Linked DNA regions of Coturnix japonica. The protein of the gene in region 1 interacts with the protein of each later gene in a pairwise test. Links are inferred from orthologs where the notes say so. Each region holds a gene or a part of one and is shown in the gene's direction. Other genes may lie near its edges.

Region 1 (7,720 bases):
TTGGCAGAGCTGCATGCAGTGACCAGCAATGCCTGTGAGACAGGGGCAGCCCCAGTGCCTGAAAGCCAAGAAGTAGCGTGACTGTGCCAGTCCAGTGTGAACACACACACGTACTGCATATCCATGCAGAGCTTGCCTGTCATATGTGATTCCTGCAAGAATTCACTGAAGGATCCAGCTCGTTTCCCATTTCAGATGCTCCATAATTACCAGCTTTTGTCTCATCAAACTGGTGCTCTCTCTTCAATTATTAACTTTGCCGCAGCATCAAAATAGCTGAAGAGGCCTTTGGGAAATAGCGGGTCCTCTTGTTAGTCTGGTTTCTACATTTATTTATATTTAATTCCGTCCACGTGAAAAAACTTCTAATTGCTGTACAGAATTGTGGTAACATTTCAGAAGTCACACGGATGTCCAAAGAACCTTGAATGGTGTGTATGTCCTGTCCAAGTGCATCTTAGCAAGTGTCAGTGCTTAGACCTATTTTATTTGGTCGTCTTTATCTGGGGTGTGGCTATAGTGCTCAGTAACATTACTAACAGGGATGCAAAGCTTGAATTCACTGTGTCAGGGGAGGGTCTGGTGGGGGTTAGGGAAAGGTTCTGCACCAGAGGGCAGTGGGTATGGAACAGGCTGTGCAGTGGGCTGGGGGATTCTTCTGTCTCTTCAAGACAAAGCTGTTAACAAGCGTTTTAAAAGGCGTGTGTAGCATAATGCTATGAAAGACAAAAGGTTTGCTTTAACAGATTTTCATTTGTAACATATTCACTGCCTTAAAGCTACTTTGGATCACCAGCAGTAGTGTCCTAACAACGGCTGCTGGCTGAAAACTGCTCTCTTTCAACCAGATGGATGCGAATGTGTGCTAGCAGCTGAGAAGTGGCATAAGGACCCTTGAGACCTTCATGAGTGGAGCTGCAAACACACAGACAGCTCTCAGCAGCACCTCTGTCTTGCAGGAGACCTGTTTATTTCTTCATCTGCATTTATTTCCTCAACATGGCCATCCTGCTCCACATGCAAAAAGATTTCCTCCTGCGATCTGCGACCGCGTGCATCTCAAATAGGGAGAAGCTTATCGGTAGCTTGAGGCGTCCTATCCTCATCTTGAAGACAGCGCGAAGCTCTCCCTTTGTGCGGTGCTTGAAAGGAGCAGGAGCTGTGAGGTGAATCAGCAAAGATGCAGCGGCACGCTGCTGCTCCCGGCGCTGCATTAGGTTGGTTTATTGCATGCCAACAGCGTCTGCGGGTTACGCTATCACATTTGTTCTGCTCCCCGCTGAGACTCTTCCGTGGCTCGAACAATGAGGCGATGTGAGTCCCACGAGAAGCAGGAGCTGCTATTAAGTCCTGAATAGTCACAGAGTGCAGCATGATACTGAATGCAAAATCCCAAATGAATTCATATAAAAGGAAAATAAATCTCAGTGACGGGCCTGGGCTTCAAACAGGGAGATTTGTGCGTGTGTGTGTTTACTTTTCCGGAGGTAAACTGGGTACAGTATAACTTCTTTCAATTCCACAAGCACCCAAACAAACGAAAGCAGCAATCTACACTCAGAAGCAGCCTTTTTTTCCCTACTCAATGGTACACACCATCAGCTGTGCAGCATATGCTGCCACAACAATAGCTCGGAGACCAGCAGATGGTGCCCGGCCCTCCCCCAGGAGGGGCTCCTCCTCCTTAACTCCTCCCCCTCCTCGGCGGCCTCCGGCCACGAGGGGGCACCATTGCTGAGCAGCGTCTCGCCCCTCCTCCTTCCCCTCCCCTGGTGGGGTGGGTTTCTTTTTCAGGCGGTGGTGGGAGAAGCGTTTCCCTACAGTCAGTATAAATACAGGCACACGTCAGCAATATGAGCGCCTTGAACAGTGCTTTAGGATGCAAAATCTGACTGAAAGTTAATCAGATTTGATTGAAAGTCAGCGTGCTTCAGCTGGAGATGTTAAGTCAGTCAGTAGTGCGTGCACTGAGTGAAGGCTGTGTTGGATAAAAGCTGAACGCGTGCACTGTGAATGTAGTTCTTTCAGTTCATTTTTCATATATATATATATATATATATTTAATTTTGTTTTTGGGAAGTGTTCACCATCAGCTGAAATGTCTGCCAGCAAAACTCCGAGTGAAATTGAAACACCCGGTGAGAGAAACCCAGGACTGAGAGGTGCCCGAACGACAACTCTGTTCCGAGCTGTGAACCCGGAGCTGTTCATTAAACCCGTAAGAGGCTCTTGCTGAGAGAAACTAAATATGTTTGGAGGCACGTTTGCTTTAAAGAAATAATGGCAGGTTTTTCTTTCATATTTGAAACGGTCCAAATCATAAAATACAAGCTTAGCACTCAGAATGCATTGTAAAAATACCTCAAAAGTTAATATAAAAGTATTATAAAAAGAGGCAATATTCATCTATTTCTCATGTGGGGTGTTTTTGGTTTTTTAACTTAATGACAGATGGTGACATGGCAGAGCACTTTAAAAAGGCTTGTGTAAGGGATAGCAATGTGATTTAAGGGTATTGGCCAATATTCTTTGCTACAGCATTTGCTGTTATAATTAAATTGATGGTGCTCTGCCTTTATTTACACTTGCATAATCCAGTGGTGTCAGTAAGATGAGATGAAACCTTGTGGACATAATAAAGGTAGATTTTGCGGGGATGATATGTGATCATAGAATCATAGAATTACCCAGGTTGAAAAAGACCTCAAAGATCATCAAGTCCAACCTCAGCCTAACCATAGTACCCTAACTCTAAAATCCCTCTGCTAAATGATATCCCTGAGCACCACATCCAAACAGCTCTTAAACACATCCAGGGATGGCAATTCAACCACCTCCCTGGGGAGCCTATTCCAGTGCTCAAACAGCATTTGTGACCTATGAAAGACACAGGCCAGTGCCTCTGGGAATTGAGAGACCTCTTTCTTATGGAGAATTTATTTTGTTTCCAGAAAATCGTGTCTCCCTTCTTGCAGTTTATCATAAAAGTCACCTAAGTCGGTCTAAAGGAAAAGCAACACTGAGTTCTTCATATATGGCAATAGTTTACTCTTTGCTTTGTAAGCTAAGGTTGAAGAATGTGATGTTTGTGATGAATGAAGAGTATCTTGACTAAAAATACATACTGTTTTTTGTTGGTTTTTTTTTGTCAGAACAAACCTGTGATGGCATTTGGACTCGTAGCAATTACCCTCTGCGTGGCCTACCTTGGTTATTTGCATGCTACGGTAGAGAATAAAAAGGATCTCTACGAAGCTGTTGACAGTGAGGGGTCCAAATATATGAGGAGAAAAACTTCCAAGTGGGACTGACGACAAGTCAGCCACAGAACATCTCAAGGTTGAAAAGAGCTGTTTTTCCTCTGTCCATTAAAATGGTGGTTGAATCTCTCTTGTGCCTTTTAATCCAGTATAAGTTCCATTATAAAATACCATGGCTGTACAAATGAATTGTAACTTAGATACATGCAGACATAAAATTGATTTTAAGGATTGTTGTCTGTGATCTCCATAGTATGTCTAGACTGGTAAATGCCTCAGAAATTCATGTGGCTCAACTCATTTTCCTCTTTGCTTTTGCTAAATGAAAACAGGGAGTTTTTTAAACTGGAGTACGCAGTGCACTGTGTGGAAAGAAAACATTGGTCTCCTGATCTTTTGAAAGTTGATCAATACAGGGTTGCAGGTAAAAGTAACTTTAAGGTGGGATCTAATGAAGATCTTTATCAGATGGTGCCCTGTGGGAGTGGCTGGGGGGAAGTAATTGTGATGTTTCCTTAGTGCAGGAGGTGGGCCCACAAAAGCCTTCCTGCTCTTCTTTGCCTTGAGGGAGCTGTGCAGGTGGGTACTGCCCTGTTCCAGCACTGAGGCCTGCTACATCTGCGTCTGACACTTGTGGCAGGACAGAATGTGTGGTGGGTGCTGCATACCAGTCTGGGGCTTATTTCTACTTCAAACCTTTGCTACTGATCTGGTTGCTTTTTTTTCCCCCCCATTCAGCTCCTCATATTTACACTGTCTTCAAGGGCACCCAAGAAGTTGAGAGACCTCCCTGTAGCCGTCTTCTGGCCAAAGTGGATTCTGTTGGGCCAAGAAGGAAAGTGACATGTGAAGGGCATCTGCTTTGCTACTCTGGGATTTGCTTCTGGGAAAAAAAGTATTATTGAAGGTAGCAAAAAGGTAACAGACTACCTTGAGGGATAGCAGAATCACTATGGGATTTCTCTGTATCTCCATCTAAATCCTTTCTTCTGAACATGTGATTTTTCTCCTGTCCAAGTTTTCTAAGTGTATGCTACGTTCAGCTGGACTTTGGTTTAGCTGCTCCCATATGAGAAGTGAAGTGAGCTATAGAAAAGCTTCAGAAAGCCTTTAAAGTGTATTCCCCTTTGACAGCCTACGGCAGGGCCTCAGAGCAAATCCAAAAGCATGCAGAAAGGAGATGGCTTGCCTCTTGGTTGGTGAAAGAATTATTAGGTAAGTTGAATACTCTGAACCTTCAGATGCTCTGCGTATCCTGTAGAATGTGTTTTTTAAGGAGGTGGTGGGTTATTAGAATTAGTCCTACAAGAAGGGCTACGCAGGATGGTAGCCATTAACATGTGTGAGTCTGGTATGTGTGCAGGAACTTAACTGAATGATTGCAAAATGCCACAAAAAAAGGCCTTTGACCAGCTTTTCTCTAAGCTTTTTAAATACACAATTTGATCCTTCTACATGCAGATGATTCAAAGTGAGGAAGCCCAATCTCATTTTCACATATTTTGGGAAAAATGTGGGATTTGAATTCTTAAATTTTGACCTACATTTTGTGGGCTGAGTGTGGATCTAGAAGTTGTGGGTTGGAAGGAAGTGAAGAAGGAAGTGAAGTTTGATAGTGCCCAGACTGGAGGAGGAGTGAATGTTGAGACTTGTTCTTATTTTTAAGTACCATCTCCGTATTTATTTGCATGTAAGTGACTTCCTTGATGTCACTTACATTATGACACATAAATAGGAGATGAAGCAATGCAAATGTACTAAATTAATGGTCACTATGGTATTAATACTGGCGTTTGCTGTTTTAGTTCCCTGATTCATACACACAACAGTGATGTGTGAATTGGGACTTAGGCAAAAAAATACACCCAAGGAGAACTACATGAGCAGTAAAATTTGTTCAGGTTGAAAGCAAAGCACTGCTCCCTTTGTGCATCTGGAGGATAAGCAAACAGCACCGAGACAGCCTCTTTTGCCCTGTTTCCCTCAATTTCATTTTCAGTACAGTAATAAATATTTACAAGGGATGATAGCTGACTTGACAGGAACTGAGTCAGAATGGTCTCCCGTGCAGAGGCTTTTTCAGCTCCTTGCCTGTCCCATATCTTCTGTGCTGACTTCCCCATCTTTACCAATAGCAGTGACAAAATGCTATGATTCGGACATCTGAAGCAGCAGCTATTGTTCTGCTCCTAAAATCTCCTCTGAGAACACGGTTTGAATGGGAATTATTGACATCCAGCAACAAAAAGCTGCGCTACAAAGCCAAAGCCTGCTGGGCTGCTGCTGAACTATTACCAGGCAAGCTCTGTGAGCACAGAGTCCCACCTGGTAACAGTTGCTATGTGGGGGGCTGTACCAGGGCTGGAAGGGGTCACTTCACACAAACCTCCCTCATCTGCCTGCATCTTCTGTGCGTTGCTGAGCTGACAGCATGTGAATCTCAATCTGAAGGCAAGCATTTCCAGTAACTGGGTAGAAAACAAGTCAGTGGCTTCCCACTCATCCCTGGCTTGCATGCTTTTTTTTTTTGTAGCAACAATAAAGAGTTGGCCTGCAAGCAAGACATCTATCCAGGGTAGAGTTCTGGCAGTTCAGTGACCGTATTGCAAAAAAGCACTAGCACACCACAATGATTAGAAGCCCAGATTTGGATTCCTTCGTTTGCTGCTCTGTATGTTCCAAAATAATACCACCGCCGCCTTCTAAAGCTACTTTTGATCGGATTCGGGAGTATAAACCTTTCAGGACACGCTATTACACTCATCATGATATACTGGGTGAGTTTGTTTCTGAAAGCCTTGTCTCATACTCTGAGAATTAGGAAAACTCAAAGTGCTTCTCTGTCCAGGACTCATGTAGGCTGTCTGGGTGAGAAAACTGCAGCAACCTTCTGAATGCACTTAAATCCTGCGTATTCAGAGGGAGGCAGGGTCAGCTGTCCTGTGGTGCATGAAGGCATTTGGATTTGTGCACAATGAAGTGTGCAGCAGAATTAGATGCAAGTCTTAGCAAATGCTTTCTAAAGCTCATTTGGCTGACATTTGCAAAGATCATTCTCTCATTCTACAGATAGGCTGCTGCATCCTGAATCCCACCTTCTCATACCTGAGTCTGGTTGTTGACCATCACTTGAGCCAAGTTCAAACCTTATTTCAGTCAAAACCGATTTTTCCATCCGTATTGATAGAATTATAAACAAAAGGAGTCTTTTGTCCTGCTATTTTAGCAGAGTTGTCATCCTAAATCTCAATATTATGTCTGTGTTACACATAGCACAACTTAAACATGATCACAGGTTTAAAAAGAAGCATTATCGCTACATAAGCTGAGCTTAGCATCTGACAAACGGCTCCAAAGAATGATATGGCATGCTGATAGGAACGCTCTCCAAAGCTGAGGGTTGGTTTTTCTGGCACAGCAGAACTGTAACCTCAAAGATGAAGGAAAACATATGGTTGCATTCCTATGTGTGAGGATCTAACACAAGCCTGAAGCGTATTTGTAAGCTATGCCTAATTATCATAGGGGTTTCTGATCAGTGGTATAAAGTTTTGTAGAAATTGCACCGTGAATTTTAATTAACACATGTTTCAATGGGAGTGTGTTTGGTTTCTCTCTTAAACAAGCAGGAGATTGCCAGTGTGCTGAGAGGAATGGGGTGAATGCTGGGTATTTCTCAGGAGGCAAAGCCTTTGCCCTGCGTTGACAATGTAAAACACATCCAGAAAGCTCTAGGAAGTCTTTTTAAGTTATTTTCTTGTTACTGCTTAGTATAATGAACTGGGGAAAAGCCAAGCAGCCAGGGCACAATGTGCTTCTTGCTGAGATTTCTACATTGTTGGACTTAGGTTTAGTTTGCTAATTTAGATCAGCTGACCCCTTGTCTCATTCTTCTACTCTTTTCCATGTACTTTATGTTAGCTCCGTGGAAGGACTCTGCCCACCCATAAAGTGGATGGGGAAGGTTGGAGCGAAAGAGGGAGATTCAGCCCTGCACTGGCTGTTTGAAAGCTTGAATCCTCAGGTCCTTTTTTGTTTTCTTAATAACTTAGGGTAAGAATATGTGACTCTTCAGCGCTGTCAAGCATGGAGAATGGGATCCAAGGCAATGCTTAGGCAAGACACTCAGTAGGAAAGGGGGAGGATCAGAAGTTCCCTTTTTTGAGATGGGGTTTTGCATTGCAGGAAGTTAACTTTATCCACCTCTCTTCAGCGTCTTGTCCTCTTCTGGGCAATCCTTGGTGCTGAAGGTCAGCCTGAACAAGCAGGGCTGTCTGCTTGCTTTTATCACCAGGAGAAGATGGTGGTGCTAATACCTTATTTAGAACCCCCACTGTGTGTTACCCTAAGGGAGTAACCCCCATCCTACTCTTGACACAGTGGCATGGTTCAATTCTTGTTGCTCCACTCCTTCTTTCCAGAAGGCCTTCCTTGGGTCCAGCAGCGCCAAAGGCAGAGGA
Region 2 (7,532 bases), on another chromosome or scaffold:
GGGTCCTGTCCCCTGACCTTGGGTGTTCCCCCATATATATCACTCAGATGTGATATCTACCACATCTGGGTGCCTGGCCCCCTGCTCCCTTTTACTGACACTTGCAGGCTGTTTAGGGGAGGGTGGCTTACCTGACTTCAAGTTACAGATAGATCTTCTGTTTCTAGTGCTTGTGATCACGCTCAGGTGTCAAAAATACAGTTAGTGTGTCCTTTCCTAAAGAGCAGTGTTGGAAAGCAAGGGATTACCATCTTTTACAACACAGAGCAGTCAAACAGCCATCATCTATACGGACTTAAACATTATTTTATTGGCTCTTCAGATAGAGCCACCTGCCTGAATAAGAAATACAGTAGATGAGTGTTGGTTATCACCAGTGTTTTCATCAAAGGTGTCTGGTTTTACCTGTTCAACATAAGGACTCCTAACAGATTGGTCTGCATTGCCAGCATGTGAAAACATGCATAGTCAAATCCCAGAATGAGGAAACGAGGCTGCTAGTGCATCAAAGACACACGTGTGCTCCCTGCAGGAGGTGTCAGCAGTTGCTGAGTGGCTGCACATGCAGTAAGGAAGTGAGAGACTCGTGGCGAGGTCTCTTGGCTGCCTGTTCTCTGTTGTTGTACCACTTTTTGTCCTGCTCATTTCCCTTTTTCTTGCTCCTGGGAACACCCTGGGAATGCTTTGAATTGCAGGTAGCGACTTCAAACTGATCCTTCTATATCTTGGTTATTCTAGGTGACTCAGAACACATCATCTTCTCACTAATTAATGATTTCCAGGTAAGACCTTGTACTTTAATTCGGGAGCCACACAAACCTGCCTGGAATTGCTACAAGATGAGCATTGTGCTTCTACTATTTCCTATGCTTGTGGATTGCCTGGGCTGCTCTAGGCACATTCATTATGTCAATGATCTCCTTCACAGTTGCTTTAGGTTTTCAGAGCAATGGGAGACAGTTTGTCAAATCTCTTCCTTTTCTGAGCTCTGGAAACAGGATTAATCCAGCAAAATCACAACCAGCCACTTGGGGGTGTTATTACCGGGTGTGGAGAGGGCAGGAGTGGGGTCGTGTATGTGTGTTGAGCCCCAGCAGAAGGGGGGATGTGCCCTGTGTGCATTTCACAAGGGGGTGGTGGTGTTTGCTGCCAGCTTGGGAGAACAGAACAGCTCTCCTTGATTTCTGCAGCAGCTGTTTGTGTGTCAAAGGCTCTGAGTACAAACAGGTGCTGTTGCCCATCACGCAGGGGTTGGAGCTCAGCATCCAACAATTGCTGTCTCACAGTGGTTTTCAAGTTGGCTGTTGGGACTTCCTGACTGCTCAGACTGTTTCTTCCCTTGCAGGCTGCTGCAAACGGCCCAGGGTGGCTCCGTAAAGAAGAGTTTGCAGTTGCACCGATGGAGATCTGTTATCCAAGCATATTGCTTGCTGATATTGCCAAAATGACTGCTGTGCCAGGAATGTATTTGCATTTATTTGCAAAGGCCAAACGTTGTACACTTCGATACCACTCGTCTCCCTTCGCTGGATGCTCCGTGGTGAAAGATCTGTGGAAATGAAGCACGACCGACCCTCCAAAGTGCATTGGAAAAGAGATTTCCTGTTATTTTCAGTGTCTCGTAATGCTGTTCCTTATACGTGCAGATCAGAATAGGTGTCATAACCGTGTATAGAGCATTTGTTGTACAGGTGACAATGCGGCGGACTGTCTCTTCCGTTCACTTGTCATTGACAGATTCTATTTAAGAATTAATATATGAGGTCAATCGTTTCACTCCTGGCTGCACTCATTCGAGTAAACTCTTGGAAAGGGCTGACAATAGCAGGACACGGGGAAATGGTTTTACCAGTTAAAAAGAGGGAAGATTTAGCGTTGCGATTGTTTGGGGGGAAGCTTCTTCACTAGGGAGAGTGGTTGAACCCTAGGAACAGGCTGCCCAGGGAGGGTTGTGGATGCCCCGTCCTTGGAGGTGTTCCAAGGCAGGTTGGAACGTGCCTGGGCTAACGCTGATCTATGGGGATCTATGGGGTCTCTATGCGGGATTCTATGGGTCTCTATGGGCGATCTTATGGGTGGTCGTATGGGTCTCCTGGGGCAACCTGACTAGTAAAGGTGTAATTTTTGGGTGGCCCTGCCAGGCCAGGGGGGCTTTGGAACTACATGATCCTCTGAGGGTCCCCTTCCAACCCGGGTCATTCTGTGATTCGTTTCTCATGACTAGAGAAGTGATTTAATGTCACAGAGCTGCCTCTCGGGATACCTCCCGAGGAGCTGCTCACTCGACAGGGGGCCTAGAGGGGCGCGTTCCTTCTAGCCAGCATCTCTATGGTTAGGGCATGGTTAAAGTGACGTATTTTTCCGTCGCCGGAAGTGATGAGGTTCGGTTCCGTCCCGCCGCCATAAAGAGCGGTAGGTTGGAGCGGGGCCGGGTCGTCGCTCGGATCCATCATGTCGATGTCACACTTATACGGCACGGACGGGGAGGATGGAGTGGAAATGGAGAACTTCGAAGTGTCGGATTGGGACCTTCAGAACGAATTCAACCCACACCGGCATCGCCACCGGCAGACCAAGGAGGAGGCCACCTATGGCGTGTGGGCCGAGCGGGATTCGGACGATGAGAGGCCCAGCTTCGGCGGCAAGCGGTGCGGGATGGACCGGGCCGGGCTATGGGGGATGGTCACATAGGCCCAAAGGGCGTCAGGGCAGCAGGGGGTTGGGTTGTGGGGTATAGTGGGGTAATAATAAAGTGTGTTATAGATATAGGTTAAGCTAATACATAATCAGATAGTCTCCTCTCTCCAGTTCTGATTACATATTCATTACGTTCCCTATGACTCCCCGTTCCCCGCAACCCATTCCTTCATTCCCCCTGACCCATTCCAACTGACCCGCCCCTTAATAGCAGGACACGGGGGAAATGGTTTTAAGTTGAAAGAGGAAGATTTTCAGGTTGGATGTTTAGGGGCGAAGTTCTTCACTAAGGAGAGTGGTAGCCTGGACAGGCTGCCCAGGAGGTTGTGGGATGCCCCGTCCTTGAGGTGTTCAGACGCAGGTTTGGACGGGGCCCTGGGCAACCTGATCTAGTAAAAGGTGTATGTTTGGTGGGCCCTGCCAGGCAGGGGGTTGGAACTCCCATGAACCTTGCAGGTCCCTCCAAACCCGGGTCATTCTGTGATTCTGTGACCCTTGGCCGTTGTTTTTGGGGTGAAATTCTTGCCTGTTTTTTTTTCTTACTTGGTGTTATCTGCTGGTATCGTTCTCCCATGTCAGCGATCATCCTTGCCCGGGGGTATCTAATCTTTACACTTCTTATCTTATTGCCGCCTCTTCTCTGGTTTTTCTTTTCGACTAAGTGTCTGTAATTCCCCTTTTCCCTGCCCTTTTAGAATGGTACACTATCTACAGTTTACCCTTTGTCTTGGTTTCTGTGAAAGTTCCCCTTTCTATTCTATGCAAGAGTGTTACCTTTACCATCCATTTTGGTGGCTCTTGCTCACTCTTACAATTCCCCCTTTTCTTTATACATAGCAGGCCTTTTACCTCTAGATTCTTAAGGGTCTCAAATTACATATATGACTCCGTTCTCTACCCTTATGTCTCACAAACGCTCGTATTGCCTTTGCTGTACAGCTTAAGTGAGGATAGGAATCCGTAGTAGTTATTACGTTTGTAAACAAGCACATAGAGCACTTTACTACTATACAGGTAAAACTTATTAACAGCACCAAGATGGCTATAAATTGGAGATTTACCGATCGAAAATGAGCTAGCTGTTATCAGATAACGCCTACAATTTCGTGGTTATACCAGCTCGAAGTGGAGTTAGTGGTTCCCACAAATCCTTTATCTTTCGCCTGAGAACCTAGTGTTATCAATATGCGCGACACAGGTAAAACACGTTGCTCAGCTCAATCTTCACCAAGGAGGAGGAATACCGATGTTATGTCTTCGAGAGGTCAATGGAAAGCATCGTTTGAAGAACTCGACAGGTCTTAGGTTTTGGTTCAGTCTCTACACTATACGGAGGAATGATAAACAGGTAACCGCTCCCTCGATAAGTGGCTGGAGATTGTGGTTGACCGAGTCCCCACCGCGGTGAAACTTCAATGAAGCCGGCGGAGAGCGCGGGCTTGAGCGAGTCTCGGTGTGTGGAAGGGAATCTACTGATGAAGATGAGAAGCCCCATTTAGTAGCCATGGAGGAAAAATCCCTAAAATGGGAAATAGTTGCCGAAGACAGTTGAAAAAACAGTGAGTGAGCGCAGAGGGAATACTGAGGCGAGTTGGTGCTTTGTTTCAGCCTGGAGAAGAGATAGGTTTGCGGGGTGACCTCATTGCAGCCTTTCACCAATATCTGAAGGGAACATTATTCTGCCCAGAAAGGGAGTAACAGCTCTTGGAAGGGCTGATCAATAGCAGGACTACGGGGAAATTAGGTCTTTAAGTTAAAAGAGGAAGTATTAGCAGTTGGGATGTTAGGGGGAAGTTCTTTAAGCTAGGTAAGAGTGGTTGAGGCCCTGGAAAAGGCTGCCCAGGGAGGTTGTGGATGCGCCCGTCTTTAGTAGTGTTTCCAAGGCAGGTGGTAAAGCGGGGTCCCACTGGGCATTACCTGATCTATGTAAGTTGTGTTATTGTTTTGGTGGCCCTGCTATGGCAGGTGGGGGTGATTCCTTGAGGTCTGCCGACGGTCCTCACTCTGGAGTCATTCTTGTAGTGAATTTCTGTTGTAGATAGTGGATACTATGATCTGTTTGTCGTGAGCTCTAAGAGGATAATTTCTGAGGTTCTTGCGGTATAAACAGAGCTATTCTGAAAGAAATGTGCCTTCATTTGTCGCCAGATGTGGGCAAGTTTAGTGTGGATTAGTATAGTATACTTCCCTTTTACAGAATTAGGGTTATGGTGCTGAATAGGCTCCAAGGTGTTAGGTTCCTGATATTGCCGCAAGGCTTGGTTGTGTTTAAGAGCCGTTTGGATGTGGTGCCTCAGGATATGATTAGGTCAGTAAAGGGTTTTTAGAGTTAGGGCATCTGGTTAGGCTGCGGTTGGACTTGATGATCTTCAAGGTCTTTTCCAACCTGGGTAATTCTATGATTCTAAAGGGAGAACCAATTAACACTGATGTAGCACGTGGGTTATGGCATGAATTTGAGGGTTGTGTTTTTATTTTCATGGATATCCTGATGTACTGCTGTGTACCCCTGGGAACGTCACTCCATTGTGGGTCTGTTTCCAGTTGTCAAGCACAAAAACAATTAGGAAGCAGCTTCAGTGAAGTCCCTGACAGAGCCTAAAAACTGGCATCTAATTTGGAAAGTTTTTAAACAACAGGGAGCTCCCATGGGCACAAAAGTGGCTTTCTGACATAGGGAGCTGGAGAAACAGGATGCAGTGTGTTGACAGCTGAATTGCTTTGCAGAAGTACCTTGTGACAGAGTGAAGTTCCACAGAGCTTTGTTATTACAGCACCTTAAAACTTGTTTGTGTTTTTTGCTCTTACAGGGTGGAAATTTCAAGCCCAGTCAGAAAGGTTTTGTAGGGGGCACAAAATCTTTCATGGATTTTGGCAGCTGGGAGAGACATACAAAGGGAATTGGGCAGAAACTTCTCCAGAAGATGGGTTATGTCCCTGGAAGAGGTCTTGGAAAGAATTCTCAAGGTACCATGATCCTGTATTTGGTTGTTTATTAATAACTAATAATTTGAAGAAGAAACTGCATTGAAGAACTGGCATCTTGAAGTGGCTTCTATGTAAATTCTTGCTTCTCTTGCCAAGTGCTCTTTCTCGTTTGAATTTCTTCCTTCTGATCTAACTGATCTCTTGTTAGGTATTATTAACCCAATTGAGGCCAAGCAAAGAAAAGGCAAAGGAGCTGTGGGAGCATATGGCTCTGAAAGAACCAGCCAGTCTTTGCAAGACTTCCCTGTTGTTGACTCGGAAGAAGAAGCTGAAGAGGTATTTGTGTGATCCCTGGTACACCCGTTTACCCTATTGTATTGTGCAAACAAGATTCAGATCTAATCAGCTTTTGTATGAGAGGAAATAAATCTCATTTTAAGTAAGAAACTAAAAACACAGAACATGAATTTCATTTAAACATATTTTCTTGTCAATGTAACATCCTTTATGTTGGTTCTGCCTCATATTATTCCTGTAGCATTGCTAGAATCCCATCCTCAGTTTCCCCCAGATAAGTAATTTGTCTTTTGTGTAAAAAGAAGAAAGATCAGAAACATTCTGGTTGTGGTAGTGTTGAGAAAAGGCTTTTTTATTGGACCATGGCATTTGAGCCAGTTTTTGCTCTGCTGTGTCACTTTCCCTTTTGTTCTGCTGTATAGCGTTCTCCACTGATTGTTTTTCCATAGAAAACAGGCAAATTTGAAGCATTGAGAACAGCAATTGTAATTTCTCCTTTTTGTTTAGGAATTTCAGAAAGAACTCAGTCAGTGGCGGAAGGATCCTAATGGAGGCAAGAAAAAGCCCAAATACAGCTATAAAACAGTAGAAGAACTGAAAGCCAAGGGTAGGATTAACAAACAGCTTTCAACCCCTCAGAAGGAGCTCTCTCAAGTCAAGGTAAGGCTGATGAACCAAGTGATGGCATCTTTGGGAAGCAACTCAATTTGTTTGCATTAGTGTTGAATACTTTTAGGCAATCGGTAAGCTTAATAGAAGTTCGTTCTAACAACTATTGTCTACAGCCTCATGCAAATCAAGGGTTCAGATTCATTACTGAATCATTTAATAGACCACAACGTAGCCTGCAATGTTGGACTTGTCCTCGAAGAGCATCTTGATCTTGAGAAAAGATTAGTTTTCTTGTTTGTTTGCTTTTGTAAGTTAATTGTTTCACATTTGTCACAGCTCACTCGATTTTGTAAACATGTTTGTCCTTATTGTAACCGTGCAACTAAACACACAGTACTTTTTAGGTAGAAGAGCTTTCAGACTGTAAGGAACTCATCTTTAATGCACTTAATGAAGTTATTCACGTAAATCAGCAAGTCCCAAGGCTTCTTTGCAGCTGTGTGTAATTGTTGTTCTTAGATTAACTCAGTAAAATGGTAAAGCTGAGATCAGATGTAGAATCTTCGAGCTCTAACCTCAAGTTGTTCTTCATTTACTCCAAATCTTCACATCAGAATCAGGTCTTTTCAGAGGTACTCTCAGGCTGCCCCATTCAAAACCAGATTTTATTACCAGGCTGCTGAATCAGTCTCCAATTTTCAATTTGGAATAAGGTGTTTTGTCTCTTTAAACGTGAATTGCATTTTATTAAGACAAGTTTTTTTTTTTCTTGTTTGTTGGAAGGTTATAGATATGACGGGCCGGGAGCAAAAGGTTTATTACAGCTACAGTCAAATTAGCCACAAGCATAATATTCCTGATGACAATCCCCAGCAGCCACTGGGCAAAGACTCTAAGCCCCAGGGATTTGCCCTGCCTGAGCTGGAGCACAACTTACAGCTTCTCATTGACATCACTGAGCAGGAGATCATCCAGAGCGACCGCCAGCTGCAATATGA
Region 3 (7,602 bases), on another chromosome or scaffold:
AGATGATTGTCTTTGTACCTAGAACATAACTTTGAGACACTCTTACCTGGAGTCTGTCCTGTGCTTGCACTGGTGTCAAACCACTCCGCTGTACAAGCATCCAAAACACCGTGTTATAAAGGTTATTAATATGGCCTATGGGAAAAAAAAGAAGAAAAAAAGTATTTACCAAAATGACTGAATACTCAAAAAAATAGACAGCAACTTAATTCCCAGTATCATAACAAAAACCTTCTAAGAATAAATAATATCATTTGGCAGAGAAGATACATTCATTTTTAAATGCACTGCAAATTGTTAATAACTGGAAGACAGATTAATTTTACATCTGAAAACAAAGAGCAGAGGGAGAAGGAGTTTTTGTATGACCTTATCTCAGTTTGAACAAGGGCTGCATGTGAATGGAGACCTAGAAATGAAATTGACAAGTTCCACATACAAACACAACAGCAATAAAGACATTTCTATTCAGAGAGGATGAGAACTCAACTGCACAAGACCCCATTTTCTAGTAATGCTTACAATCTGCTTGTCTCCAGCTGAGATAGTCCTTTAAGTTTTGGTTGCTGGGATACAGCACAATTCGTCCATCAAATCCAGGTGGGTACAGAAGTTGTTGGTCCTTAAAGTAATCCTTCCAATAGAAAACGTAACTCGAGGCAAACTGGGAGACCACGTGAGTCATGAACTTACTTGGAAACACAAAACAAAGGGAAAAGAAAGGCAGACATCAATACGACTATATGCACCTATAACCACGATGTATCAATAGGAATAATTCTGGTGGGCAGCATTATTTCTTATGTAACGGTCCAACAGTTCAGCAATGGCATAATCTTTTATAAATCAAATACATGAGTTTGGAAAGCAAAACACTTTGTTAAAGGAAGCCCTGTTTTACCAGAACTACCTAGAGCTCCATATAACTGAATGCTATGGAAACACTGCTTGCAGAGTTCACATTAAGAACTAGAATTAGGTATACTGTGTATCTCCAAATACAGCCCACCTTGTAGCCTCTGTGTTCAGATAAAGGCAAACCTGAAGATGAGGGCTGAGGCACAGGTTTAGAGACAGGTATTAGTTCACTTTCATACCAAAGCAGGTGTTACCTCGCTCTTCTTTTAAACCATTTACTCTTCTTTTTGAAAACAAAGCTGTATTCATCGCTCTGTCCATAAGCAATAGCAATATCCTCCAACTCCTGCATCACGGTCTGGGCACATCTGGTCATCAGATGAAGAGCGCGGTCATCATTGGGCTTTTTGAACTCGTGTTGCTCAGCAAACCTGCAAAGCAAAAGAGATAGAATAAGAATCCTGTATAAGGCAGCTCAGAGAAGTGAATGGGTTCATTTGCATTGTGTTTAGCTTTTAAAATATTTACAATATCCAGCCAATACTAACAGAGAATTCCTTGCAGGTATGAAAAATGGTAACAAAAACCTGGTTTTACATAAGAGCTGATCCTAAAGTAATGCCTCCTATGTTGGTCCATGATCAGACCTCACCCCATACCATACCATATCATACCATACCATACCATACCCATACCATACCACCCCACACCATACCATACTACCCCATACCATACCATGCCATACCAGGCCATACCATACCATAGCATACCACCCCATACCACACCACCCCATCCCATCCCATACTGTAGCATACCATACCGTACCATATCACCCCATACCATACCCATACAATACCATACCACCCCATACCATAGCATACCACCCCATACCACACCATAGCATACCACAGCACACCATACCACCCCATACCATATCCATACACCATCCCATCCCATATCATATCCATACACCATCCCATCCCATATCATACCACACCATACCATACCATCCCACCCCATACCATCCCATCCCACCCCATAACATCCCATACCATAGCATAGCATACCACCCTATACCATACCCATACCACACCATCCCATACCACCCCATACCACATCATACCATCCCATACCACACCATACCATCCCATACCACACCATACCACCCCATACCACACCATACCATCCCATACCACACCATACCATCCCATACCACAGCACCCCATACCATCCCACACCATAGCATACCCATCCCATCCCCATCCCATACCACCCCATCCCATACCACTCCATACCATCCCATACCACCCCATCTCATCCCATACCACACCATAGCACAGCATACCATACCATACCACTCCACCCCATCCCATCCCATCCCATCTCATCCCACTCCAAGCCCCCCACCCATTGGCTGCCCACCCATTTCACCTGTGGAAATTGCGGCCGTCCAGCCGTACCACAATCCAGCAGTTGGGCAGACAAGTGTCGTCCGTCTCAAAATCCCTCACATATTCGAACTTGCTTTTCGCCATAGAGACCCGACCTCGCACACACCCCACCCCGGCTCCCACAGAGACACCAACAGCCGCCCTTAAACAACACAGCATGGCCGGAGCGGAGGCGGAAATACAGCATGGAGGGCGAGGCATTGAGCCTTTCTAGACGCTTGGGAGGACTCCCTCTATGGAACCCGGCTGCTGGTCTCCATGCGACCGCATTGTTTGGTGGTGGGAGGAGCCCAACGGAGCGTTGAAGCTGCTCTCGTAGGTGACGGCGGCGCGAGGGCGCTGCGAGCGTTGGGGACCAACCGCAGGAGGCAAACGGCAGTGGCGTCATGGAGCGGGGCGGGGGCGGCGGCTATGGAGGGGGTTCTGAGCTCCATGTCTGCTCACAGGGTCCCTCAGGCGGTGAGGAGGATCAGGAGAAGAGAGTTAAAGCTAAAGAGGTCCAGCAGCTGGATGGAGGCTGCACCGCCTGTCCTGATGGCAGCAAGGAAGAAGGAGGGGAGCTCAGGTGTTCCCCAGTTGGATGGGGGGGGAAAGAGAAGGCGATCTGTGTAAAAGAGGATGGAGAAAAATGTGGCGGAGAAGAGCAGGAAGATGTGGTGGTGGTGGAGATCAGGGGCGGCGTGAAGGAGCCATGTGCAGGAGTGAAGGTGGATGTGGATGAGGACGGTGCTGCAGGAAGGGCCTCGTGTGGACCCGCACACATCAGCAGTGATGGCGGCATGGCACAGCCCAAAGAAGGGCTGGGGGTCCTCCCTGAAGACCTGAAGATCCCCCTGGTGCTTCGGCCTTTGCCTCCTGGTGCCCGTATACAAGTGCAAGGCCCTTTGCTGCCAAAGCTGATCCAGGTGTCTAAGGGACCTGTGAGCCAAGTGCCTCTTAAAATGCAATCCCTGCTGGAGCCGTCTGTAAAAATTGAAACTAAAAACGTGCCCCTCACTGTACTGCCCTCCGATTCAGGTATTATGTTAAGAAGCCAAGTAGTCAGGGTTGTGGTAAGGTACACACAGCCGACGGGTTATAGGGAGGAGAGCAAAGGCAGCATTAGAGAACCATCTGGATACACTGTGTCTAATTCAGGGTGATGTGTGAGCTACAGGAGCACAGAGTTCTCTATTGGTTTATTGGGATCAGTACAGTTTGTTTGCTCTCTGCCTCTACTGAACCCCTTTATAATTGGAATCACACTGAATTTTGATTGCAGGTTGCAGTTTAGATGTCTGCTTGACTTTAAAATGGAGCATTCATACACCTCCCAGGACATGTTAAGCAATAAACTTTTTGTAGTACCTGGGTTAGAAGCTTGCTTGTTCTGGAAAGAAAAAGGCTTTTCAAATGTATAGGTTTTAGGCTTTTAAAATGCATGACTTAAAACGAAGTTCTAAAGATAAGGAAACCTCCCTTTATTGATAATATGGAACAGTTCACCTCTAAGCCTTTTGCTGAGGGATCAGCTGTGAGGGATCTGGCTGTTCATGATGTCACCAGTTCAATCCAAATGCAGTCTGTGTTTACAGAGATGTAAAGCTGGGTGTCATGTAACAGTCAGTTGGTAAAACAGATTCCTCCAGCAAATGAATGCTCATATCTGAGGGGAAAAACCCATCTAAGAACCCCAGCACAGCAGCAGCCTCAGCAGAGAATCCAGAGACTGCACAGTAGAGGGACCAAAGTGCTATACCAGTGTTATCATTAGGGCTTTTGGATACATAGTTCTGTGGGAGATGACAGACTTGCAGTGATATGGTCTATGCCATACTGAGTTCAACTTATAAACAAGCTACAGGAAATGGTCTAGTCGAGTGAAATCCAAACTGTCTCAGCAGTCACGTGTGTTTCATATTTTTAAGAAGAGAATAAACAACAAAAGCCATGCACGATTCCTTTATACAGTGGTTCGGTTAGTAGAGCCTTGATTAGATTTCTAGGAATTACTGTCTGCACGTGCGATGAATTTTGTGTATTCTGAAGCTCTAGTGATTCTGAAAAGCCTTTTGGTGTAATCTGTGCTTCCATGTATTGCCTGGAAGATGATCTTTCTGCACTTTGTTGCACAGGTATGCCAGATACTCCATTCAGCAAGGACAAAACTGGCCATGTAAAGCGTCCGATGAATGCGTTCATGGTGTGGGCTAGGATTCACCGACCTGCCCTGGCTAAAGCCAACCCCAATGCCAATAATGCAGAAATCAGTGTTCAGCTGGGGTTGGAGTGGAGCAAACTGACTGAAGAGCAGAAACAGCCCTATTACGATGAAGCTCGGAAAATAAAACAAAGGCACAGAGAGGAATTTCCTGGTAAACACGTATTTATTGATTTACCTCAATGTTCTAATAGTGCACAATTTACAGGAGGAAAAAACCAAAAAACCACAAAAAGGATTTATTTCATTAGAACACATAGAAGAGTTAGAAAACATGGCACAAATTTCAAGCACTCAGTCCTTCTATCAGCCTTCCAGTGCATGTGAAAACATATTATTAAGCATCCAAAAATTATATGCATCCTTTACTGCCTCTTAATTGTGTTCCTACATTCTCAGACCACCACAGCTCTTCTGGTTGTTGTGAACATCACTCCAAAACCCTTAACAAGTCTGTTTATCCACTAACAAGTCTGTTTATCCACTAACAAGTCTGTTTATCCACAACGCTGCAGTTCAGTTAATAGGATACTAACAAAACAGAGCATAAGTTCTTCCTGAAAGCTGTTATCAGGTGTCACAATCCTTTGTGATGCCATAATCCTTCTAACTCACAATGGCTAGACCAGGCTTGACTGGTCATGAAAGCAGTGCATGCTCTCTCTCTCTCCTGGGCTGCTTAGTGTAAGTTCACAGTTTATTTAAAGTCTGCTAGTGTTTAGTTAATGGTATATGTCAGAGGCAAACATACTTTTTATTGCCAAAATCTATATGGGATTCCTATTGGATCGTATTTTCCATTGTCTCTCGTAGCCTGCAGATACATAAGAAGTTTAAGGGGTTGAAGAAGAAATCAGAAAAGACCCAGATTTTTAATATAGTCATGATTTTCTTCATGACTGGGAAGCCCACAATACAGTGTCATGTTCTCCTAAACATGCTTTGTGTAGCTGTGCCATGTCACTCCCTACCCTTCTGTATTTCTTTGTCTAACAGTTACAGTTCAGTAACGCAAACACAATGTCCAAATGTGTCCATTTTCTTTCCGTCTCTGATAAAACACCCCATTTACTGCCTCACTGACAGAAATGCAGTTTTGCCATTGGAGCATTTTGAGAACTCTTTGACTTTTTTTCTTATTTTTTCTTAAGGTATTTCAGAATTGAAGTTGCCATAGGTTATAAAGAGAAAGAGAGAGAGAGAGAGAAATTAACAGAGGGACCATTCTATAAATGATGTATCTACATTTTTTTCATCTCTTACAGGTTGGGTTTATCAGCCACGACCAGGCAAGAGGAAGCGTTATCCACTGGCTGTCTCTGCTGTATTTTCCAGCACCACCCAGAATATCATCACTACAAATCCAGTTGCTGTTTATCCCTTTCCATCGCCTGCATTCCCTGCTGCCATGCACAATATTCAGAAAAATATTGGACATCCAGTCTGTGAGTTGCAGTAGTGAATGGTTTTAAAAATCAGGAATTTACCTATTATAGCAGCTGTAATACATCCACTAGTGTAGATATATTTAACAAATGATTTCTCAGTCTGCCTGGACACTGTTATTTCTTTCAGTTCTCCTCTGCATTGAACCTCTGCCTCCTAGTCTCTACCTACTGCTTCCTCACACATAGCTGCTCTTTAATTTTGTCCCCCTCTTCATCCTCCACAGATGCTCCTATTGTCTTTGTAGTTCCTGGTACCTCCTGGGTCTCTCTGGTTGTCTGTTACTCAACACTTGCCTCCTGAAGAGCTATAATAATTTCATTTCCCTGTTCTGTCTCCCTCACCCATATCTTTCCACACCAGATCTCACTGCACTCAGCATTCAAACCTGCTCTATTAAGCCTGGAAAAGTTTATTAGCTTATTACCTCCACTCCAATGTTAGTGCTCTTTGCTAGCAGAGCACCACTATTCTAGGGCTCAGCAACTTATGCTGCACACAAGGAGGCAGAATTGTCTGCAGTGCTCCCTTGTTTTTTGTCTTGTTTTGTTTTGTTGAAGGAAGGTTAAGATTATGGACTCCAAAACCATGTCAGACACACATAGGCCAGTTGGCACGTGACTGTGAGTTGCAGGGAAGCAATGCTATAATGTGTTTTGGAGGAAATGGTTCTGGCTTCAGATGTGGTTTGCTATGTCATTATTTATGAAATCTCCTTGTGTCTGATAAATAATTGCTTTCTTTCCTAAAGGTGAAGCTCCTTCTGCCACCCGGCTGCCAGCTTCCTCTATTCAGCGTCCAACTCCAATTAATCTTTTCCGACCTGCTTCTGCAAGCACCACTCCAGTGGCAGTTCCAACTCCAACCCTGCCTCTGCGCCCTATAATTGCATCACAGCACTTTGCTGATCCTACTCAGAGGGAAGCTCGTGATGTATCTCCTGGATCCTATTGCTTTCTGAAGAGATCAACACCAGTTGTTGTTGATCTCTCCAGTAGAAGCTCAAGCACCTCAACAAACGCTAGTGACAGATTTTCTGTCCCTAATAGCGAATTCCCAAAGGAGTACTCAGGGATTTCTCCTTATCCTAGAGGTGTACTTCTTCCCCAGGTTACCCCACTTCCTCATTCGCATCTCTGTGAGAGTCCTCCCATTGGGCAAGCAGCCAGTCTGTATGGAGTACCTCCTCAGTTTTCATTTTATCACCCCTACTTCGTTCCTGGACCTCACTATTTCCCTTCAAGGTAATGCAACCCTTCATTTCAATATCATTTAGATTAAGTGCTAAAAGGCTTTAACTTTCAGAAAGCAGGTAGCACGTTCAATTCTTGAGACAAGAACACAGTGCCAGAAAGGAAAGGTGCTCTTCCCATGGCTTCTGTGTGGTGGGACCTGCTCGAGGCTACTTGTTATATATGCAGTTATTGAAGGCTCTATGGTACGATTTTAGTAACTGGCACTTCTAAACCCACAGTAAATAGAAGTATCCTTTCTGCTTTGTGCACCTCAGTGCAATTAGATGCACTACATCCGATCTCTACGGAAAAGTATTAGGTAAATATATTTTCCAAATGACCAGATGCCATTAAGAAGGTGTGTGAGGTGTCTCCCAGCTACTTACTGTGATTGTAGCTGTCCAATATTTCT
Region 4 (7,529 bases), on another chromosome or scaffold:
GAGCGCAAAGCTATTTTATCAGCTATGGTCAAACGCTGTGGGTACTGATATAATGAATTAAGATGCAAGGGGGAAAGCAATGGCATTTCTCACAGTCATCTCGTGTATCATACAGCAACCGTGTGCTAATTATTTGACCCGTCAGAGAAGGAGAAATACTCCAAGGTTCTGTGTGGTATTACATCATTTAAGACAGTTTCTCTCCATCCAGCCTCTGGGTGCAACAATCTTATCTAAAGAAAACCCAACACTCATTCAACACTACGGGAAAGCGTGTGCTGACATACAAGCACACACATAGACACACACTAGAGACCCCTGGAAAGAGGATGAAGAGCAGTCCCAGGCTATAAGCATCAAGCAGGGAGATGCCCCAAAGTTACCAGCCTTCCCCAATACACTCACCGTTGGTGGAGGCAGCCAGCAGCCCCACGGAGAGCAGCAGCACCCGGCTCCAGGAGCTCACTTCCACCGTCATCAGAGCCAAGATCCCCAATTTTCCCCAATTCCTTCCGAGGCTGCAGCTGCATCCCGGCCGGTCCCATCCCAAGGAAGGTTGCATGTCAAAGGACGGCAGGAATGGGGCGTGTTGGGGGTTGGCTGCTGGTGGATTTTCCCCCTTTTTTCTCCCCCTTTGCGATTGGGATAGTCCTCGGCTCGGCTGGAAGAAGAGGAGAAAAGCAAGAAGGGTGGGGGGGTGAGGGGGGGGGGTAATAAATAAATAAATAAATAAAACCAACAACAAAAAAAAAAAGCAGGTCAGGCTTGCGATTTCTTGGTTATTTTTTTAACTATTTATTTTTCCTTTCTCAGCCCAGGGAAAAAATAAAATAAAATAAAATAAAATCCCACCGCATGGAAGGCTCTGAGCTTCTGCAGCTGGAATGAACCAAGTGTGGCAGCAGCTCGGGGAGAGGAGAGGCGAAGAGAGGAGGGCTGGCTCGTCCCTCCCGGTGCCTGTCTCCGAGCCAGCTCTCCGGCATCAGCGGCGCGCAGCCCCCGGGGATTTATACTTTTTTTATTAGCCACTTGATTAATCGCTCCTGTATCTTCCTTCACCTCTTTCTCTAAATGCTGGGAGGGGGCTCGGACGATGCCATGAGGGGCTGCCGTGCAAACAGCGAGCAGATCTGCCTCGTTTCTGCTTCCTTGGACCCAACGCAATCCTCCCACCAGCCCCCGCCCCAGCACCACCAGCAAGCCGCAAATTACGCTTTAGCATGTTTAGGCATTTGTTTTTTAATGCACGCCACAGGTTTCTGGCGTGGCAGCCCCCCCCATTTTGCCCACGGACACACATAGAGCATCTCCGCTACAAAGACATCAGCTGGGAAGCAGCACAGCCCCCCCCCCGGTAAACAACTTGATGATATTGACACGATTTTGGTGATGAAGCAAAATTGGGTAAATGCGGAACATAAAAGGGACCAGCCCCAGGCTCTGACCTGTCCTGGGCAATGGAACGGGCTGAGCCAGCCCCCCCATAACCCCCCCAGGACCGGGCTGAGAGCAGCATCCTCCTCTAACCCCCACCTTGTTGGTTGTTTTTTAAGCGTCTGTTAGCCCATTTGTCCCTACGGCTGCATGCAAGATACGGGGGGGAGGAAAAAAATGCGGTCTTTAAAAGATACAGTGAGGAACTTAATTATCGTGGCGATGATGCGCAGATCCGCGGACAAGAAAAACAACAACTACGTGACACTACAGCTTAACAGAAAGGAAAAAAAAACACCCTGAGAAGTCGTTCGTTTCCCCCCGCCCCCCCAAAATTCCCAGCAACCAACTGCCCAACGACCACCCCTCGGCCAGCAGCAGCCCCATCCCGCAGCACCGAGACTCGCATCCTCCCCATCTCCCCCCGACACGGAGCAGGGCGAAGCAGCCGAGCCCGGCTCGGGGCCGCCCCCAACCCCCGCCCTGCTTTTGCTGCAGTTGCTTTGCTGCAAAACCCCCTTCTTGGGGCTCGTTCCGGTTGCCCTGAATGAGCTTATTTGACAGCTTAAAAACAAATGATATCGAGGGCTCGCAAATCTGCCCCTCCGCCCTCGGATCCAGCCTCTCTCTCGCTCCCTTTTCCCTGTGTCCCCTCTGCATTTGAATCCTTCCACTGCCTACACTGTGAGCCAATGCCAAGAGCCAAGGCAACCAGCGCTGTTACATGAAAGAGTTGCTTTATGTCTGCTTAAACTGCAGTGTCCTATTCAAATAGACCTTATTGTTCAAAGGCACGGATCCAAATCGAAAAGGATCACAGAACAGGGTACCACACTTGACAGCTCTATACATCGCTTCTCCCTTACACAGCCATCCACCTCGGCCCCCAACCCCCAGGCTGTAGCCGGAGATGCAACTGGGTTGCTGCACACAGCAGAGCACAGCCGAGCCAAGGTCTGGAGCCCCGCACCGGGAGCAAGCAGCCAGCATAATCGAGTCATTGAGGAGACACAGTCCCACTTTATTCCTGGGCAATAACGCCATACCTATTGCAAATGAAGGGCTCCCAACTAAGCGTGGCCCCACACCTAGCAACGAAAGCTTACTCTCTCTTTAAGAATAAAAAGTATTTATTTGCTAAATGCAGTGTGATGAACGTAGAATCCATCACCATAGCCAACATCTATCACTGCAACTCATCTCTCCTCCCTGCCCAAACAGTGAACTTTGAGAACCCGAGAGCTTGGCAAGGGCACATAGAACAAATGCCAATACCAGGCACAAACCCCAACCCATGTCCCTTGGACTCTCCTTTCTCTCTTCCCCCCAATGAAGATCACAAACACAACCCTTGGTGATGAATGAGGAACCACAGAACCATTCACACTTAGGGAATTATGCCAGGAATTGAGAGAGTTTCACCACTAGTCATCCAGCATAGGAATGCAAAACATCTTACTAACTACCACATTTTACTCTTTCTTAACCATATCATCACTATTGGTAGGGAGAAAATAACATTTATCTGGGCAGAGGCATGAGTGAGCAGAGCCATGCGCTCTTTGGAGCTTCATCACCTGCGCATTAAATGGAAGAGGCAAAGCTCCAGTACAGAAAGAAGGGGGCAGGACAGCTGAATGCTGACCCTGGAAAGACAGGGATCTAGTTTATGAGAGGGGAAGCTCCCAGCTGTGCCAAGGACAAGCAGATATTTCAGTTATCAACTGCCAGGACCTGGCGTTCCGTGGTTGCCACGGCTCTTCTTTCCGTTTGCCATGTAAACAAAACACCACTCAAGAAGATAGCCTGGATGCATAGAGGCTGAAGGATGCTCACCAGCATAAATGGGTTTGCAGCCCCAGCAGTGAAATCAGAGGGGCCGTTCCCACTGGGGCCATACCCACGGCACATCTGGATCCACGACAACACGCCCCAAGACGGGCTGGACAAGGCCTGCCATGAGATCTGGAAACGGATGCAGAGCCCCCCCGAGGAGCTTCAGCCCATCATCTGCATGGACCCACAGGGACCCCCATGGAGCAAGAACGGTGCCCACAGCGGGTGAGTGACCACCAGCACTGCAGGACAAGGGGCTTGACTCCAACAGAGCCCTCATAACCCCTAGAAACAGAGAGCTGGAGCACAGGGGTGCTGTGTTGGCTTTGGGCAGCCTCTTAATGGGACAGAGTATCCCCATTTGTCCCAATATAACCAGTCTTTTTGGGAGAGCTTGTCCCATGAAAGCCAGCTACTTGAAAATCTGAAGCACCACAAGCAGCTGCTGCTTTTGCTTCCCCACAACATTTAAAGCAAAACAACTACACACACATCAAAATATTTACAGGAAGAAGTGAAAGCAGCATTCAAAAGGAACAAAATCGAAAATTAAAGTGTTATAAGGAAGCTACTGTAAACAGCTGATCTTTACAAAGAGAAGCTGAATTTAGCACAGAAAAAATTATGCCAAATCATGTTCTGCGGGACAAATGGTGATAAGGGAGGGAAGGATGCTCTTCAGATTAATGGGATAATATTTACTGTATGCTCCTGAAGTAGAAAAAGAGTGAAATTTACATGTCCAGCTATCAATCAGCAAGTTATTAGCTCGTGTCCACTTCTTAAAGCCTAAGTCACACATCTTGCCTGATACAGTGAAAAACAGCTGTCGTATCTTTTAAGACTAACATCACAGATTGAGAAAGCTGATAATTCGATGCTTTTAGCTGAAGACGTGGAGGATCAGAAGGGGAAATGCCCTATGCTGTGTCACTGTGAAACCCAGGGAGTACATCTTGGAGCCCTGACTCCTTTCCTTTCCCTTCCATATCCATAACAATAACAGTAATAACTGGCCTAGAATAAATGCACAAAGTGAAACCAAACAACCCAAGAATAACCAGTGAAGCCAATGGACTTGCACTGGCCTACAGCAGCAGGTCAACTTATGCTGCTGAAACATCTTGACAATTAGCACAAGCTCAGCCACGTAACTTGGTCATGCCAGCTGCTTGGAAGTCCAAGCAAAGAGATAAGGTATAAACCACTGTGAACTATTAAACGACATAAGCAAAGCCACCATTAGAAATATATAGGTTCAGTTTTTAGCAATTAATCTAATGCAGTGAGAGCAGCCCACCCTGCAGCCCACCCTCACGCCACTGTAATGGGGTTGAGGAAGCAGATAAGAACGATTTGGGACAACCAGCAAGGACCTGTAACAAACTCAACACCTCCAACTAAGATGAAATTAAACAGCCAGCAAAGCGCAGTGGCTAAAGCACCTTCCTCAGGGTCAGAGAAATGATTCATTGTTCTCCTGCTGATCTTTGAGTTACTTTGGGCAGCTGCTCTGACCCTTTCTGCCAGCAGCATTTCCCTGCATTCAGCAAACAGGCTCTTCAGCAAAGAAGTGCCCTCAGCATACACTCACACAGTGCAGTTCATTGCTCACCAGCTATTCAAAGACACCCCCCTGAGTCAATGAACCTTCCAAAAATACCAAACCTGAAGCAATGAAACCAAATCGCTGTACAGAATTCAAGGGAACTTCCTTAAAATCCCTACAGGTGAGGTCAGGTGTCCACCTCCAGCCTCGGAGGTGGCTGCAACCACCAATGGAGAGAGGAATCCCAGTGAAAGATGGGATAAAGCATTGTAGAAAATAAGCTTTCTTTGGAAATGACAGCAATTTTCTATTTTTATGCCCATAGTATAGGTTTGTTGAGGATTTTAAGGTATCTGTTCTTTAAAAATAGGGAGATAAAGCAGCATCCTGCCAATTATGGTGATCCTATGATTAGAGATAATTAGCTACATTTAACTATCCAGATTTCACTAATATTAGCAATCCATTTATGTACTATATATGTATCTGTACAGTGCATGCACAGAGCATCACTTCCCCTCAAGCTGAGGAGAGTAAATGGATGATACGTTAAGTTATTGAACATACCTGGCTGTGAAAGAGCAACGTGGAATTTAAAGGAGGATTTTGAGTAGGGAACCACTACAAACACTGAGTTGTGCCTTAGAGACACAGCATTGTTCAGCCCTGGCAGCCACCCCACTGTAAGTCCTAGAGGACTTCATGGCTTCCAGTCTGAAACGCCATCACCCAACTTCAGTTATTCCCAAATAGGTGTGTTAAGTTCAGATTTTGTTTTAATTTTCCCATTTTATGTGGTTCTTTGGAGAAGAACAGTGTCCTGGAGGTAGGTTTCATTCCGGTTGAGAAGGAATACTCGAGGCTTAAACGGAGCATAAATGAAACAGAAATGCAAGGCATAGAAGCAGTCAAGAAAATGAGTTCAATCTAATGTCAAGCTCTCAACAGAATCCCTATATTTCACATTCTTACAGGGACTGGTTGCTAGATGAAACAGAGGGACTTGAGAGCATATACAGAGCAGTGATTGGAAACAGAGAAAGAGAGATGAAATTAAGAGCTCTCTGCGATGCTCAGCTTTCTGCTAAATCCACCATCACCAACCTCCTGCGTTCAACAAGCTCTCCCAGGATCTCCAAGGGGTTGGGGGACAACAGCACAACAGGTGCTGGTAGCACAGAGGGCAACAAGCTGGGGATGCCATTGCTGCTGAAGCACACAGATATTGCCAAAGGTCCAGACAGGCAACTCATGGCTGAGGAAAGCAAGACAATGAAAGAGTTCTTCCAGAATGGCACTGTCAGTGCTGCAAAGAATAGCACAGCTGTGCCAGCTCTGATGGCAGAAAGTCAAACTGCAGGACAGAAGCAGCAGCTCCCAACACTTGCCAAGATTTGCTCCAGACCTGACTCCAATGCAGCCACAAAGGCACTGCAGAATCCAGGTATGGATCAGGACACAGTTTCTTCTGTGCTAATTTCCTGGTCTCAGATAGTTTTGTTCTTACAGAGCTCAAAACAAGAATCTTTTGCCCCATTCCAGTCATTCTTACAGCTCAGGAGATTAACTTCATTCCAGGTCCTGTGGGTTGGGGTTTAATGGCCTTACATGTGAATCTGATCTGCTCATTTCTAAGCATGGGTCTCCAGAAATACAGCCTGCAAAAGCATCTTAAACACTTTGCTCACAGGGAGTGCATCCCCTTAGCTGCAAGTGCTTCATGGTTTAATGAAGGGAATGCTTAATTATCTTCACCCTTGTTTTGTTTTACAGTAACTACTGCAGCACTGGATAAAAAAATAGTTATATACAATGCCAGCACTTCCAATCCACACTTTCCCGTTACTACAACCACCACAAACTTAAACCAGCCAATGTGGCCGAGTCTGAGCTTCCCTCCACTTCCTCTATATCCAAACCAGCCAAACTACCCACCCTTTCAGGTAAGATTGAATAAACCCACATTTTAGAACATTTCCAGGCCCATACTGACAAGCTCAGGGCAGCAACTACCTCTGCTATGAGAACTGCTTTCTGATTTGTAGGGTAGAGCCTAAAAGAAACCAGGCTGCTGTCCTACAATGACTGATCACACTGGTTCGCCATCAGTGTTAACATCCAATGTAATGCAGTCCTCTGAGATGTTAGTGATCAAAGGATGATGTTCTATTGACATATACTGAATGCTGACCTCTCTTGGCATTCATTAGTTTCCATGTTTATGTTGCATTTACAAATATTTATCCTGTATTACAAATATTTTGAGCTAATAATTCATTAAGGATATTTCACTCGGTGGCTCTGTTTGCACAACAGGATGCTGCTTGCTTTCTTTGCCTGGCGAAACAGGACCTCAAATCAAAGTGAAAAAGCCATCTAAGGTTATTAAGATGGCAAATGCTTAAGTCAAAAGGAATGAAAGAATGGGAATTGTACATACCTATGGTTTACAGCCCCAGAATTTCCCCTGAAGCCCACGGTTCAACAGAGACCTACTGAGCACAGGACAAGTGCAGTCCTTCCACCCCCAGCATTCAGCCAGGATTTGGGCTTCTCTGCCTGGTCTTAGGGAAATAAAGGGAAGACTTCCCCAAATCTAAGAAGTTAATTTACCTCAACCTGGTTTCTCTGAACACAGCTTTACACTAAAAAAATTCATGCAAAAGAAATAATAATTAACAGAGCAACTCAAACTGTTTTAAAAGTCATG

The links.
Region 2: the proteins of cilia- and flagella-associated protein 206 (region 1) and TFIP11 interact in binary tests that used the Homo sapiens proteins (3 or more experiments, as listed by UniProt). The two-hybrid records come from large-scale screens. The link is inferred for Coturnix japonica from reciprocal best matches to the Homo sapiens genes CFAP206 and TFIP11.
Region 3: the proteins of cilia- and flagella-associated protein 206 (region 1) and SOX30 interact in binary tests that used the Homo sapiens proteins (3 or more experiments, as listed by UniProt). The two-hybrid records come from large-scale screens. The link is inferred for Coturnix japonica from reciprocal best matches to the Homo sapiens genes CFAP206 and SOX30.
Region 4: the proteins of cilia- and flagella-associated protein 206 (region 1) and C23H1orf94 interact in binary tests that used the Homo sapiens proteins (3 or more experiments, as listed by UniProt). The two-hybrid records come from large-scale screens. The link is inferred for Coturnix japonica from reciprocal best matches to the Homo sapiens genes CFAP206 and C1orf94.

Annotation. Positions count from the first base shown.
Region 1 is NC_029518.1:69,677,741-69,685,460, reverse strand, and holds the start of cilia- and flagella-associated protein 206, read left to right. Parts: upstream 1-3,604; 5' UTR 3,605-4,178; intron 4,179-4,303; exon of another isoform or gene 4,304-4,475; intron 4,476-5,793; 5' UTR 5,794-5,889; coding exon 5,890-6,037; intron 6,038-7,720. Other genes in the region: SMIM8 (small integral membrane protein 8), read left to right, coding at 2,099-2,218, 3,153-3,311. UniProt on the Homo sapiens protein: Essential for sperm motility and is involved in the regulation of the beating frequency of motile cilia on the epithelial cells of the respiratory tract. Required for the establishment of radial spokes in sperm flagella.
Region 2 is NC_029530.1:6,264,845-6,272,376, reverse strand, and holds the start of TFIP11 (tuftelin-interacting protein 11), read left to right. Parts: upstream 1-2,359; 5' UTR 2,360-2,451; coding exon 2,452-2,648; intron 2,649-3,392; coding exon 3,393-3,396; intron 3,397-5,507; coding exon 5,508-5,664; intron 5,665-5,833; coding exon 5,834-5,961; intron 5,962-6,429; coding exon 6,430-6,582; intron 6,583-7,317; coding exon 7,318-7,532. Other genes in the region: TPST2 (protein-tyrosine sulfotransferase 2), read left to right, coding at 739-768. UniProt on the Homo sapiens protein: Involved in pre-mRNA splicing, specifically in spliceosome disassembly during late-stage splicing events. Intron turnover seems to proceed through reactions in two lariat-intron associated complexes termed Intron Large (IL) and Intron Small (IS).
Region 3 is NC_029528.1:13,025,833-13,033,434, forward strand, and holds the start of SOX30 (transcription factor SOX-30), read left to right. Parts: upstream 1-2,674; 5' UTR 2,675-2,695; coding exon 2,696-3,326; intron 3,327-4,423; coding exon 4,424-4,663; intron 4,664-5,774; coding exon 5,775-5,954; intron 5,955-6,706; coding exon 6,707-7,199; intron 7,200-7,602. Other genes in the region: THG1L (probable tRNA(His) guanylyltransferase), read right to left, coding at 47-135, 523-692, 1,113-1,289, 2,290-2,510. UniProt on the Homo sapiens protein: Acts both as a transcriptional activator and a repressor. Binds to the DNA sequence 5'-ACAAT-3' and shows a preference for guanine residues surrounding this core motif. Binds to its own promoter and activates its own transcription.
Region 4 is NC_029538.1:4,085,009-4,092,537, reverse strand, and holds the start of C23H1orf94 (uncharacterized protein C1orf94 homolog), read left to right. Parts: upstream 1-3,176; 5' UTR 3,177-3,262; coding exon 3,263-3,495; intron 3,496-5,793; coding exon 5,794-6,263; intron 6,264-6,592; coding exon 6,593-6,762; intron 6,763-7,529. Other genes in the region: CSMD2 (CUB and sushi domain-containing protein 2), read right to left, coding at 406-562.